Alligator mississippiensis: one gene and its partner. The protein of the gene in region 2 purifies or fractionates together with the protein of the main gene of each other region. This does not show direct contact. Links are inferred from orthologs where the notes say so. Each region holds a gene or a part of one and is shown on either strand. Other genes may lie near its edges.

Region 1 (7,428 bases), on a different chromosome or scaffold from region 2:
AACTTAGAACAAAGGGTGAACTCAGGTACAGTCCCAATTTGACAATTTATAGGCAAGGCAACTTTCCTGAGACAGAAGACTGGTAGAGAAGATATAAACAGAAAAAACTATTGAGAAGCACAAAAAAATATTCCAAGTCTTCATTATACCTGATAACAAATGTAACATATACAAAGAAAACCATAACAAGCCAAACTACAGACATCGTAACCAATACATGACCAACAGCAGTGTGACAATTACTGTCTTTGAAAGGAGAATCCATAAAAGTAGGCCAAACAAAGTACATAAGATCACTTACAGTGAAGTTCAGCATACAATCTATCAATAATCATGTTATCATATAAAACGTTACATTCAGTAGCACTTAAGATTTAGTGCTTCAGGTACGGTGTATTTAAGTCTTTCAGAAACTTAATTTAATCACTGAACTTTAATTACTCATCCGAGTCCTCCACAATTTTATAAAAATCAATTAAGGAAACCTGCTACTTATTCACGTTTAGTGCCTATCAGACCTACAAGACAAGGTTTGGCTAAATTGGCTGCATTACATGTTGTACTTTCACGTTCATAGTTTTATGCAAGATACAAGCAGCTGGAAGTTAAACGTGAAGGAAAACTGCAAGCAGACAAGTCTAGTCTGCCAGCTAACAAGAACAATAGGAAAGTCTAGCAAGAACAAAAGGAAACAATAGGAAATAAATAAATGTACGTTTAAAGTTAAAAAATAAAAAACCCTGAATAATCCAGAGTGAGAAACAAATACTATTTTAGCTGGATATCATCATAAAAGCCCAGAGGGATATATACAGTTAAAAGTAATTATGTCCAAAGAGTTTTTATATAAATACAATACATACATCTCTCTCTCTCTATACACACACACACACATATACATATATAACTATATGTATACATACACATATACATATATTTTATATGTATGCACACATATTTACACAAAAAATACATTCTCCAACAACAGTTTGATGGGGTACTCTCAAAGGTGGAGGATTTGCAAGGGAACTAAATCTGCTGTCAACAATACCCTGTTAGTATGACCCTATCTTTAATCTACAGGCATGATAAGATGCCCCAACACACATAAACCCAGCTCAAACAGTGACTAATGACCATTAATCCCCCTATCTCTTCCGTGATCGCTCCTTCCTCCATTTATCACACTGACACTTCACTTTACACACGTGAATAAACTTTAACAGAGAAGGTGAATCAAAAATCATCTCAAAGCAATCTGGGACTATAAATTAAAGCTGAGGACTGGGAGTGGGCTGGGGGGGGGGAAGAGGGGGAAGGCAGGGGGGAACGATTTGTTCTTGATTTGCATCCCGCTTGGTGGCAAAAAGCACTCAATCAACCAGACATGCAAACTGTTGAGATGGCTACATTAGCCAAGGGGTGCACCGAGGGAAGAACAAAGCAGGCCTTTACACTTTAACCCATTCACCAGTCCCAACTCCTTTCCAGCTACATCCGGTTGCCCCACTAGTCCTGGACTCCTGGGGGCTTCCCTGGAGTGCTCCTGGGAAGATGCAGAGTGCCTTGGGCTGGCTCAATGTCAGGGGTTTGCCAGGAGGTAAGGGCATTCTTTAATCAGGACTAAAGGACTTTGACACGTATGCCATGATCCCAGCCTGCAGTGACTGGCTTCCTATATCTAGAGATCTGAGAAAGAACATCTTGCATTGGAAGGCTTGTCTAACTTTATCCCAAGGGCACAGATGATCCAACAAAAGTGATCCCCCTAAGAAACCGTCACCTCTCACATAATTACTGGGCCACCATGGCTACAACATCACTCTCACACTACCAGGATCTCAGTCACAAATCCCCCCCCCCCCCCCAGCGCGGGAACTGGATCCTGTAACTTGCCTAAGACTCAGCAGCTGTGGCTGTGCTCCAGAGCGGCACCTACAACTTCTTAAAGCAAGAGAAGGGGAAAGAGGAGGAGGGGGGTGAAGGAAAGCTGTGTGGCTGAAAGGAGGGGTTAAGCTAAACTGGCTAGAAAGCAAGAAGTCACCCAGCTGCATTTAGGTGGCAAGTAAGCATCTCCTGTAATGAGGCAGGGGGGTAGCACCGCTGAGACATAAGAGCCCAGAGGGGGAAAGAGTATCTTCTTTTAAAAAAAGAAAAAAAGAAAAGGAGAAGCCTTCATAAATCAAGGGGCTGGAAGTTTGCTGGGGAAAACCAACCCATTCATGTAATCTTCTCTCTCCACCACCTGCCCCCCAGTACAGAGACACACATAGACACCCGATCCAACCCAGCAGAACCTACAGAAGAAAAAGGTTGTTATTTCCTGACACTTCTCCCTACTCAGTTTCAGCGACAAGCCTTTGAGCCCACAAGGAAACTCTGAGCAGCTCCTTGTTCACGGGCTGGGAGGGAGAAGAGTCCTCCGTGCAATGAGAGATCCTGAGCTTGCCGAAGCCCCTTGCCCCTATGTGCGTCTGTGTGCTGTGACTGTCCGTGTGTGTGTGTGCCCCTGTACGTCCCTTTATGTGCGCCTGTGGGTGCGATTGTCCATGTGCGTGTTCCTGTCTGCGTGTGTCCCCGCGTGCCGCCCAGCACTCCTGCTCCAAACCCCAGAGCAGCCCGCACAGACTCGGGGCGGAAAGCCGCCCCCCGCCCAACCCGCGCGTAGACGAGCCCGTGAAACTTCAGGCAAAGACGAGCCGAGGCGGGGAGCGGGGGCAGGACAGGGCAGGCGCCGGCGCTTACCTGCGCAGAGCCAGACGCAGCCGAGGAGGTAGAAGCGGGCAAACTCCGCGACCATTGTCCCCAGGCGGCGGCCGCGCAGCCCCGGCTCATGCCAGGGGGGAGCCGACGCCCGCAGCCCCGCGCCGCCGCCGCCGGCCCGGGCGCCCGGAGCTGCAGTGCGGGGGCCGAGGGGCATCCGCGGCTGCGGCTCAGGACGCGCCGGCGGGGCGGGGGCGGCCCCGGTCCCGCTGCCGGCAGCGGCGCGCGGCGCGCAGCATGGCCCGGGCCAGGGGCGCAAGCGGGCGGGCGGGCGGGCGTGCAGGACGCGGCGGCGGTCGCGGTGGCTGCAGCGCCCCGACTCGGCGGTGTCACGCGGAGTCGCTCGCGAGCGCCCGCTCCGCGCCGGCCCCGCCCCCTCAGCCCCGCCCCGCCGCCGCCTCGGGATGCTTTAAAGGAGCCGCGCCTCTCTCCTCTCCGGACCCCTGGGGAAGGCGAACAGCCCGGGGTGGCGGCACCGCACGGGGGCAGCGGGGCGAAGGCGGGGGGTTGCGGCAGCCCCTGAGAGTCTTGCGGGACTAGGCAGGGACTAAAAGGGATGTAGTTGCGGGGGGAGCGGGGCAGCACGAGCAGGCGCGTACACACAAGCTGGACAGCACTGGTGCGCACACGCACATACACTGTAGTGGGACACACTGGAGCAGGACACACACGCACACACACTGTAGAGGAACACGCACACATAGACACACACACAGACACACATACTGGAGCAGTACAGCACTGGCAGAGGACCTGGACTAGATCTCTCGCTCTCTCACACTCACAGTCACACACGGAAGCTGGAGCAGGACAGCACTGGCAGAGGACCTCATGACACACACTTCCTCTCTCTCTGGAGCTGTATACAGCTGTATTCAAAGCATCTATCACGCTGATGTTCTTACACATTAATAGTAAGTAACCCAAAGAGTAGGAAGTTGCCCCCCTCTCCCTTTCTTTTACACAGGCACGCAGTCTCGCACTCTCTGGAGCCCTACAACTGTGTCCCAACCATCTGTCACACCACTGCTCTTACAAGCAAATAGGAAGTACTAAAAATCATAAGTAACTCACACAGACGAAGCTGCCATGCACCCAAAGGTGCCTGGCATGCATGCACAAAGCCAGGGACTGAGAAAGCAAGTGACCAGTGGCAATGCTGCCAACCACTGCCAAGGTTATGAAAACAGCCTCTTTCATTCTTTAAAAAGGAGGCAATGAATTAGAGGCAATAAGGAAAGTAGTTACTATGCCAGAGTAATGAGCTGGAGCTTTGTGAGGCTGGTACAGGACCTGGTTTTCACACACACTCTCTCTCTCTCTCTCTCTCTCTTTCATGCTTTGGAGCCCTAGAGCTCTGTGCAAAGCTTTCAGCACATTGATGTCCTTACATGTTAATAATAAGTAACGAAAAATACAAAGCTGCCACACTCCCACACGCACACACGCAGTCACTGACTCACTCTTTGGAGCCCTGCAGCCATGTTCAAAGCATTTATCATACCAATGCCCTTACATGTGAATAAGTAACCCAAAATGTATGAAGCTGCCACTCTCTCTCTCTCTCTCTCACTCTCTCCAGTCCTACAGCTGTATTCAAAGCATCTATCGCGCTGATGCCTTTACACATGAATAAGAAGTATGCCAAAGAGTATGCAGCTGCCACATACCCAAAAGTGCCTGGCAAATGCACACAAATCAGGGGCTGAAGACACAACTACTAGCCATAGGGGTGCCAATGTTTCCTGGGCATCAGGTCCTTTATTAAAGCCCTCCTTCCTGCAGCTTTAAGTAGATGTTATATTAAAAGGGAGGCTTATCCCTTCATTAAAGGGGAGGGGAAAGGACGTTTCTGGCATCACTGCAGAGAAAAGCTTAGAAAAGCGGGACCCCAGTAAATCCCAAAAGTTCAAAAGCAAGAAAGGAAATTGAAAGAGAACGTACTTTGAGAGGGAAATTCTAATGTATAAGTTGCAAGACATGGGGCAAACAATTTTTTACTCCACACCAACCATCATCACAACTTCAACAAACTACAGAACTTGCATGGCAACTTTAAGTCCACTCCCACTATCACTTTTTTCATACAGCTCTTTCCTGGACAGCTGTTGTGAATGCCTGATGTAGTGGCCAACCTGTGGTATGCATGCCCCAGTGGCATGGACAGCTGCTGCCTGTGGCATGTGGCATACTGGGGAGGGGACAAGAAGTACAGCTGCAGATTGGGCAGAATACAAAGCCAAGCAGCAAATCAGGCTGAGAGCACAGGGAAAGAAGCAGAAAGCAAAGCAGCAGATCAAACAAGGAACAAAGATCAATGCAGCAGATCAGGCAGGGAGCAGAAAGCAGAGTGGCAGATCCACAGGGGAAGGGGATTGGAGTGGCATTTAGGTAGGTGCAGAGTTAATTTGTGGCACACAAAAAGGTTGTTCACCCCCCAATGCAGTAATAGATTGGTACTTGATAGCTTGGACTTATCTAAGAGGAATGAATGTAGAGAAGTACTTAGGACAGTTTTTCCTGGGCAGATGATGTTAGGCCAGCATCCATAACAGAGTACCATTAAGGCTGCAGTTCATAGTAAGTGTGATAATGGTATCCTGTGTGCTGACAAGCCAGTTCTTCCATAGCTCAACTCATCATCCTTGCTTTCATGGATTTCTGTTAGGTATTGTGTTCCTGTGCACTAACTTCTAGGCTTTATTCATGCTTATTTAAGGCTTTGGGTTTGGATGAGGTGCAGGCAGAAGTTTAGTTGCAGATGAGAATGCCTTTTGAGTCATTCATTGCAAATTAGTGCTTTATTGCAGGATAAAACCTAAGAGAAAAGTTTTGTTTCTGGCATAGAAAGATTTATGTACAACTACCTTATCATCTGCCAGTCAGGTTTTAATAATCCCAATCTCCATTAATCACTCAAGCTTGTGCATGGTGACAGACCCAAATCAATCAAAGTTTATCCACACTTTGACTCCATCAATCAAGTTTAGAGCACAAAAGCTTCCATTTTTAACACAGATAATATTAAAATGGCTCTAAGTAAAACATTTTAAAAATAAAAATAATAATTAAAAACCCTATCCATTGCACCAGATACACTACTAAATCTCCTGAAATCTGTAGCTATTAACAAGAAACTTGGTTTAACAGTGAAAAACCAAGGACTACCAAGGACATTTCCAGCAAAAACTCAATTCCCAAAGCTTTCTGTTAAGAATTAAGAAACTGAGCAAAAACTACACGACTAATACCAAGGTTATAAAAATAGCCTTATGTGACATTTAACACCAATTACCCCTTTATTTTCAGAGAAAAATAAGGAATTCATTGTAGATGTGATATCTTTTATTAGACCAGCTGAGAAGATGGAACAAAGTTCTTTCAGGCAACCACAAACTTGCTAAGAACTTTGTTCTAACTACTCAGTTGGTCTAATAAAAGATATCACATCTACTTAAAAAAGCTTGCCTGCCTATGTCCTTAGACCAACATGGCTACAACCAAAAACCCTGCAGGAATTCATTGTCCATCTTAAATTCTTCAGGAATTTACATGGATGTTTACCTGTGTAACAAGTGTGCTTAGCCAAAATCAATTTTCAGCAACCATCATTTCACACATAATAAAACAAAAGCCATATTAGCACAGCTCTTCCCTAGGATTAAAACATGATAGAAGAGTCTACACGGTTGAAAGCTCTTATTGTTGAGATACGAGGAATTCAGTGCATTAGCTGCAGAAGCCTTGAGATAAGTAGAATCTTAAGTTCATGCAGGGCTCAAAAGGACCTCTACAGGTCATATATTCCAACCCTCTGCTCTGAGGCAGTATCAGAGAACCCAGACCAAGACCAGTATGCCTGCCAGATACATTTGTCTGCCCTGATATTAAAGAGCACTACTGCTTGGGATTTTGCTACCTCCCTAGGTAATCTGTTACATTGCTCAACTAACTTTATATTTATGAAGTTATTTTCTTAATATCTAGCCTCAGTAGTCCCAATCTTCACAAGAAGAAAACATAACTATAAAGGTACAACAATTGTTCTTCTTAAGGCATGTTAAATAAGGCAGTTATGAATCTATATTAGATTCATTCTTCTTATGCTGAAACATACTTTTAAGTCAGTCACATGAATCAGGAAAATCAAACCTGCAAACCTAGTATGAGACAACCCTTTGTATACAAATAATGTATTTTTCATTTAGGAATTTAGGTGTTTACACATATTTGTAAAATAATATTCAGCTATAACTTAGTTTTTACATGAATCTTAGATTCTGTGTAATTTTTTGATAAAAATATTGTTTTCTTAACACTGCTCATGTAAGGTGTGATTTCAAGTGTGTGTCTATCACCTATAACTATATCAAACTATATCAATATCTATATCAGATAGATAGATAGATAGATAGATAGATAGATAGATAGATAGATAGATAGATAGATAGATATGCAGTAATTGCATAAGAATAGAAAGTATATATTAGGGGTGTGCAAAGCTGGCCCTATTCAATTCAGATTTGGATTTGACCTAATTCAGGGACAGTGATTCGATTTGTTGATTTAGATCACTGTCCCTGATTCGATTCGGCCAAATCCAAATCTGAAGATTTGATGCTGATTCAAAGAATCAGCGATTCGGACAAAGACACAGCTTTAAAT
Region 2 (7,604 bases):
TTAATTTTTACATTCATGACCTCCAGGCACCTTCTCAAGAAACGTCATACAGGCTGATGACACAGCCCTCATTACACAACAATCTTGTTTCTCCAGAGCAGAAGTAATACTCACAACAGATCTGAATACTTTAGAAACCTACTTTAAATAATGGCATCTGCACCCAAGCCCTGGGAAAACAAAAGCATCTACATTTCACTTGAACAATAAACAAGCTAATTAGCAACCCATTATTGTTTTAAAAGTCAGCTCTTAAGTTATAAGAGTACTCCTAAATATTTAGGAATCATCCTAGATAGAACACTGTGCTATAAAAATCACTTAACTATGACAGCAGCTAAGTTAAAAAACTTGTAATAATTTGCTCCAGAAACTCACTGGGACTTCCTGGGGAGCTGATGCTGATGCACTGAGGACAACAGCCTAAGTGCTGGTTTACTCTTCGGTGGAATACTGTGGTCCAATTTGGTTAAAGTGCTCACACTGATAAGTTTGACAGTGACATATAACAGACTGAATCATTACAGAAACAATTTGATCTACCCCTCTTCAACAGCTCCCTATTCTTAGTAACCTACATCTTCTCTCATGAAGAAAAAAATGCCTTAACTAAATTATGAACTAAAATAAAAAATAACCCACAGCTGCCTATACAAAAGATTTCTTAAACCCACGTCCAAGACTAAAATCTAGACATCCCAACAGGAGAACAGCAATTCAACTTGAGCAAGATTCATTTAACATCCAAGATGCCTGGATGCAAATGTGGCTCAATTCATCCCCTAACACAGAAAATATTACTACAAATCCCACTATCAGACAAACCAGCTTTGATCTCCCTAGACGTCTTTGGTCTTCTCTAAACAGAATCAGGACAGGACACAGCAAATGTGTATTTCTGTAACAATGGTGGGGCTGGACTAGCTCACAGAACTGCAGCTGTGGTGCCCCCTTTCAAACTTTGAATCATATCACCCCTGAATGCTCTCTTCATACACTTAATGGAACTCTATTGGATCTGAACAATACTACACCTAAGGCAATGAGCTAGCTGCAAAATTTGGACATAAAATTGTGAATATGTTTCTCCTTGCTTTGTGATCCCTGTATCATCAAATGCTAAATAAAAAAAGTGGCTGCAGCGGGCTGGGAAAGCTGGCTGCTGCCACCCCTGGCTTCATGGTGGGCTGAATTATCTGGCGGGGCTTGGTGCCAGCTCCCCCCAACTCAGTCAAAGGCCCTAGGGAGTGGTTCCCAGCACTAGCCCCTGGCTCCCCATGTTTCTCCGGGCAGGTGACTGCAACATCTCCCCTGTGGCAGGGCGGGGCAGGCCCTGGCCCAGGGCTCTGCACCCTTCAGCCGGCACTAGGCATGCATTATTGATTAACTGTTTAACCGATATAATTAGAGATGGTTACATGGATAATTTTTTTTAACACTATTTACATCTCTAGCATGTATACATGAATGGAATCCAACTATATCAGTTTTGTAAGGCTCCTAAATATACTGGCATTACAATTCCTTCCTTTTTTGTGCATTTATGGCAGGCTATGCCATGAGTGCTTCTGTCATGGCCTCGTCATTTCTATTAAAAACACAGAAACCAAATCATGAGAAACTACATCGGAATCTTGGTACAATTTTTCAGTGTAGTTTACAGAATTAATAATGTTTGCTAACAATACAGGTAATTGTTTTATATAGCATTATATGCTAATCTTGAAATCTTCACACGCTGTAATCAATGACAACAAAGATAAAATTTTTAAAAGACATTGCTTTGAACTCTGGGAAGTACTAAATACGATCAAATTAGGTCCTGACTCCATGAACACTTGCCTACCCAGAGAAAGTTACAGGTTCTGGGCTTTGATTTGTATCTGCAATTATTTCCAAGACTATGCAACGAAGTAAGAGTACTTTATTTCAAATTCTCATTCCCCCAAATCAGACTCTGTGACTGCAAGCTTATATTATAGGAAGATTTAGACACAAAAACAAATTTTAAAAAAGGAAATCAAGAAGTTCTGCATCTTCCAGCAACCACTGCACTTTAAAACAAACTTCATTCAATGTACAGCCATACAGAAGTTGTGCATCCAGTAGGCTGAGGGGCTTCAGAAAATCTTCAATATTTTAATTTTCAGATGCGTATACTTGGGCAGCTCCAAAATCAGTAACAAGTCATACAAAATAACAAATAATACAAATACATGACAAATGATGCAAAATCAATGCTTACAAAAATGGGAGCGCTTGAGAAGTCCTGCCAGGGTACTCGCAGGAGCACAGGGAAGTTGGGCTGGAAGGGACGTCCAGGGGTCACCGAATCCTAGGAGATCAGAGGAGGAAGGGCCCGCAGGAGGTCACCTCTAGTCCAACCGCTGCTCACAGCAGCACCACATCATCCCAGCCAGGGCTTTGTCTTAAAAACCTCCAAGGATGGCGTTACCACCACCTCTCTGAGCAGCTTCTCCACCCTCCTAGTGAGGAAATCTTGCCTAATATCCAACCTAAACGTCCCTTGCTGCAACTTGAGCCGACGGCTCCTTGTCGTGTCACCTACCCCGCAGAGAACAGTCTCCCGGGCCGCACGGGGCGGCCGCCCCTGTCCCGGCTCAGCAACCCCGGGCTAGTCCACCCCCTCCCTGAGGCAGGATCCTCCCCACCCGAGACGCGCCCCCGCGGGGCACCGGCCCAGGCTCCGAAACGAAGCCTGCAACGCAGCCCTGGCTAGAGGCGCTCGCCCCGCCGCGGGCCCCGTTCGACCCGGCCTTTCCCCTCCTCAGAGGAGCGAAGCCAGGCAAGAGGGCAGCCCGCAGGCGCCACGACGCCGCCCCTTGGGTCCCTCCGGCTCCTGCCTTCAGAGCTGGGCGGCAGAGCAGACCGAGCCCAGGATCCCACCGCACCTGGGCCGCCGGGCGCCTTCCGCTCCCACCGTTCTCTGCCCCAGCCGGCGAGCGCGCCCCGCACAAAGATGGCGGCGCAGAGGCGTACCTCCCTCTTCGCCCCACGGACACACGTGGGGGCGCCCCGCACAAAGATGGCGGAGGGGAGCCTCCCCCCCAACCTACCCCTCACCAAGATGGCGGCAGCGGGCAGCTTGCCCCGGGGCTTCGCGTGGGCAGGGCTCAGGGTTGTCCCGCACAAAGATGGCGGCGGCGCGGGTCCACATTCAGGGCTAGCCCCTCCGCCTGGCTTCGCGTTGACCCCGGAAGCGGATGCGCCGCTGTCTCCTAGCAGCCGTCGCGGGGGCGGGACTGGGGCCGGGGCTGCAAAGGGCCGCTGCTGCTCGCGGGGCCCGGTAGGTAAGCAGGGGCGCAGCCTAGAGGAGGCGCGCGGTCCCCTCCCCCGCGGGGCCGAGCAGCCCCCGCCGTCCCCGCCTCTGTGGCAGGGAGCAAGCGAGCGCCTCCTGCTGCGAGTCGCTCCCTGCCTCTCCTTGCAAATCCTTCCCTGCAGGCCGCTGTTGCTCCCCCCGATGTCCAGTGCTGCCCCCTGCCAAGGGCCGAGCGGGCTGGAGGACGGGCCGAAACCTGCCGCGCCCTGCTCAGCTTCTCGGTAGAGGCGAGGGAGGAGGATGCCGGCCCGCCTCTGCGCCCTCTGTAACCCCGGGCTTTGACAGCCTGCAGAGAAAAGGCCGGGGGAGGTGTAATTGAGCACATCGCTTTCATTTGACAGGAGATGCCAGTGGCAGGTTGTGACTGATGCGGCCTCGAGGTAGTTTCGCTTAACGAGGTTATGGGAGAGAGAGAGCCATGTCCGAAGAAGCAGTTAGTGAGACGCACTTTTCTCTGAAGACAGCAGCTTTACGAGTGTTTCATCTTCCCCTTTCCTGGTATTATTCTCTCATCCAGGTAACGATCGAAATATTGCGTTATCCTCATTCCTGGCGTTTTCATCCATGAATCGGAAACAGTTTCAGTTACTTTATTTATTTATTTTTTTTACAGTATTTTAAATGATTGAGCTCCTGGGGGGCATAATATTTGGTTACGTCTTCATTAAACATTTTCCCCCGGGAATATCTTTGTTCCGGTTCTCACACAATGCGCACACATGAGAGACAAAACTATTTTGTTGGTTTTTCTCCCTTCTACTCCCTCAAGTCAGTTGTATGTCAGATAACAGAAACGACTCTCTCTGCAAACCCATGGTCTTTGTGGCAGAGTAATCGTTGCAGCATTGTAGTACCTCTGATCAAACCAAATATCATGCTCTTCAGTTTTGTTTTTCACAGGCAAATTTGTCAGTTTCTTTAAAAGTTTAAATGCAAAAGTCATTAACCCAAATAATCGTATTGGGCATGTTCCAAAATATTTTGCAGATTGTAGATATTTTTTCTTTTTTGACTGTATTTGTTTCGATGAACTACTGCATCATTGTGAAGATTCACCCAGCTGACAGTGTTTTCGATTGATTTACAATAAGTGATATAGTACTGAGAGATGGTTGGTTTAAATCCAGTCTGTTGTGGGTTTTTTTTATGTCAATAGTCCCTTATAGTTGAACATAACGAAGCTTTAGTTAATCACTTTTTTTGGCTTTTATGCAGATGGTTTTAGCATTGATTTATTGTCATCCATTTTCTTGCTGTTTTATATGCTAATTTGCTGTATGTAAATAATAGTACTGGTGGGTAATGAATGATTTATCTTTAATAGTAAAGAGTCCATTGTATTCTTAGTTTCCAGACTCAGAGCTGAGCAGCATCATGGAGCTGACACTCCCTGTCTGCAGGGGAACGTGTCCCTGGAACATTCTTTAATAGAAAGTTAGGGTGGAGAATCAATATTTCTGCTTTGACTACAGCCAAAGGAGGAGGCAGTTCTCAGTCAGATATAACTAGGCATGTTTCTGAGCAACACAGTGAAATCAAACCTGCTTAAATAACTCTAAGCTTTGTGAAATGGGAAAACTGCTTCCATATTTCTTATTGACAGAAAAAGTCCACATTCTATGCTGTAGTGTGTTGAAAAAGATGCTACTTTTCTGTTAATATAAGGAGGGAGATTGTGAGCTTGTTCTTTATTTAATCCATGCAGCCATCCTGATAGGTGTGATTTTAAGCAAAATATGATCCGTCATCAGGACTCTGGCACTTTTTTAAGAGGAAAGATGTTACTGAGTCATTAATGTGGATCCTGTTTTTCTCCGTTTAAAAATTCAAAATTCTCTGATTAAAACCCCACAAATCCATGGTTTTTTCTGCCATTAAAATGGAATGCCACTATATATATAGGTATCTGCTGAACACAATGTTTTATTGATATATTTACCAGTTTAAAGCAGTGTGGAAGCCTACCAGTGCCTCAGTCATTATAATAAAATATATTCTAAATACCTATAAACTTTGGCATTTGATTTTGGTATTTTTTATTATAGAAAATCGGAGCACCTCCTGCCCCTTTCCCTCAGGAGGACACAGGTCCAGCTGCAGCTGTCCTCACAGCTGTTTTGTGGCACAGAGCATCACTGATTTGCTGTTGCTCTGCCCCTGCTGTTGCCCCTCACTCCTGACCAGCACCCCTTGACTGCCCCCGACTTGCTTCCTCCTGGCAGCAGCAGCGCCCCCACTGCACCAGGCCACAGGTCCAGCTGAAGCTATCCTGCCTGATGCTTTGTGGCTCTGAGCAGTGCTGGCCCTTGCTCTTCTGCTCCCCTGTGGGCCCAGGGCCCAGTGGTCTCCATAACCTTCCTGGGAAGCCCTTGACAGGGCTCAGGGACTGGACTGGACTGGGCCTGCCTCTGGCTGGACAAGCCCCTTCTCTTCTATGATAGTCTCCCTCTGCACAGGCAGCTCTAGGAGGGCAGGGGGTCTCCAGGCCCAGTTCTAGTGGCCACTTTTACCTGGAGCACCTCCCCACCCCATCTTCCTTTCTTGCAGACCCTTCCCTGTTGCCACCCCCAGCCCATCACATATGCACACACACATAGACCCTTCTGCTATTTTAATCCTCTTTGCAGGGCCCCCAGCCACCCCCCAGACCTCAAAAGCTCTACTTACCCCAACGGCTGCAGGAGAGAAAGTCGGTCTGAGCCAGCACTGGCTGGTCTCAGATTCTCAGGCTTTGCCCCACCCTCTGCAGACAGGGCTTAGGGTTTCCTGACCTTTTGCAGGTAGCTCTTGCAGGCTGGAACTCTGCCCACCAGCAGAGAGCTGTTTGCAAAAGGGAAAATCTGTGGTTTCCTCCTTCAAAGGGGAAATCCATATTTTTCTGCAGGAAACAGAAAACCCAGATCCCTAAGCATTAAATCTTAATGCCTGTCCAAAGCCAGTGGCATTGATAAAGCCCTATTTTATGTTTAATAATACAAGCTGCCCGAAACATCTTTATCGTATTACATAAATATAAATGTGTACATACATATACATGTTTTAGTACAAATATTAAGAAGAGTGAATATTCTTATTGTCTCTCATGTGACTACCCCAGGACTTTGAATTTTTCCAACATGGAAAAAATAAATTCCTTACCAAGAGCTCACTGATTGCGTGTTCTGTATTGCTGTAGTGGTTTTTCTAGAGCTCCTGCATCGCTCAAGTCTTGTATTAACTCTGGGATTAATTATACATCCCTGGAGATACCAGTGTGTGTCTGTTCACTTGTTTACCATCTTCTGCATGTCCAGTGGGATGGAAAAAAAGTCACGGAACATCTAGTTGCAGTTATTAAAACCTCTGAAATGTAGTGTCTACTTGGTTGAAATGCATTTGTAAATGCATTTATAATTATATGAAATGAATATGAACTTAGGTGTAATATTTTGCTTAATTTAATCTTTTGTACAGTATTACTGCATCTTTACTGTTTTTACAGCGAGTGATTTTTAAAAAAAAATTTTTTTTTAAGCATTAAAGTAAATTTTATGTTTTAATACCTGAGCTAAATCCTCTGCTTTGGTTTAGATTAGGAGTGGGTAATTATTTGGGCAGGAGGGTCACTGGGGGAGTTTGGGTGTGCTGTTATGGGTTGGGTCAACATTCCCCCCACACTCCCACACACACTCTTCCCTTCCCACTGCTCACAAATGCTCACCAAAACTCTCTGTGGCTTTGCCCTGTAGCCCGGCCCTGTGCTCTCGCTGCCCAGCGATCCCAGGGTCGCTGTGGAGGTTGGCCTGAGACCCACATGGGCAGGGCAGGCTTCAGGGGCGACGCGTAGGGAGTGCACGTGGGTGCACGTGCACCCCCTGAGTATGACAGTGCACCCCCTGCCTGCAGGCAGTTGCCACTCGCCAGCCTGCCACCGACACTGCCAGTGGCATCTGCGAGTGGTCCATGATTGCCCCTGGCTGCTGGGAGCACCTGTGGGTGGACAGTGTTGTCAGCGTCTACGGGAGCTCCCAGCTTACCACCGCTGTCACTGCGCTCCTGCTGCCGCCAGGGCAGCCGTGTCCCCACAGCCACCGGGGGCATGTGCCATTCGTGGCATGCTTGGTCAGGCAGATGGGGGCTGTGGGTAGGCCTGGAGCAGGATGAGCAGGCAGGATTGGGGATGGGATGAGGAGTATGGGGCACTGACAGAGTCAGGCTGGGGCTGAGGGCAGAGCTGTTATCCACTTCCTACATGCTCCTGACCATGGAATTGGCGCGTTGCAGG

Evidence for each region.
Region 1: the proteins of USP33 (region 2) and ROBO1 purify together in Homo sapiens (affinity purification with western blotting; 5 studies listed by BioGRID and IntAct, with this or other methods). This does not show direct contact. The link is inferred for Alligator mississippiensis from reciprocal best matches to the Homo sapiens genes USP33 and ROBO1.

Annotation. Positions count from the first base shown.
Region 1 is NC_081824.1:275,560,816-275,568,243, reverse strand, and holds the start of ROBO1 (roundabout homolog 1), read right to left. Parts: upstream 3,048-7,428; 5' UTR 2,921-3,047; coding exon 2,746-2,920; intron 1-2,745. UniProt on the Homo sapiens protein: Receptor for SLIT1 and SLIT2 that mediates cellular responses to molecular guidance cues in cellular migration, including axonal navigation at the ventral midline of the neural tube and projection of axons to different regions during neuronal development.
Region 2 is NC_081828.1:23,812,051-23,819,654, forward strand, and holds the start of USP33 (ubiquitin carboxyl-terminal hydrolase 33), read right to left. Parts: upstream 3,176-7,604; 5' UTR 3,078-3,175; intron 3,012-3,077; exon of another isoform or gene 2,913-3,011; intron 2,336-2,912; 5' UTR 2,246-2,335; intron 1-2,245. Other genes in the region: MIGA1 (mitoguardin 1), read left to right, coding at 3,759-3,857. UniProt on the Homo sapiens protein: Deubiquitinating enzyme involved in various processes such as centrosome duplication, cellular migration and beta-2 adrenergic receptor/ADRB2 recycling.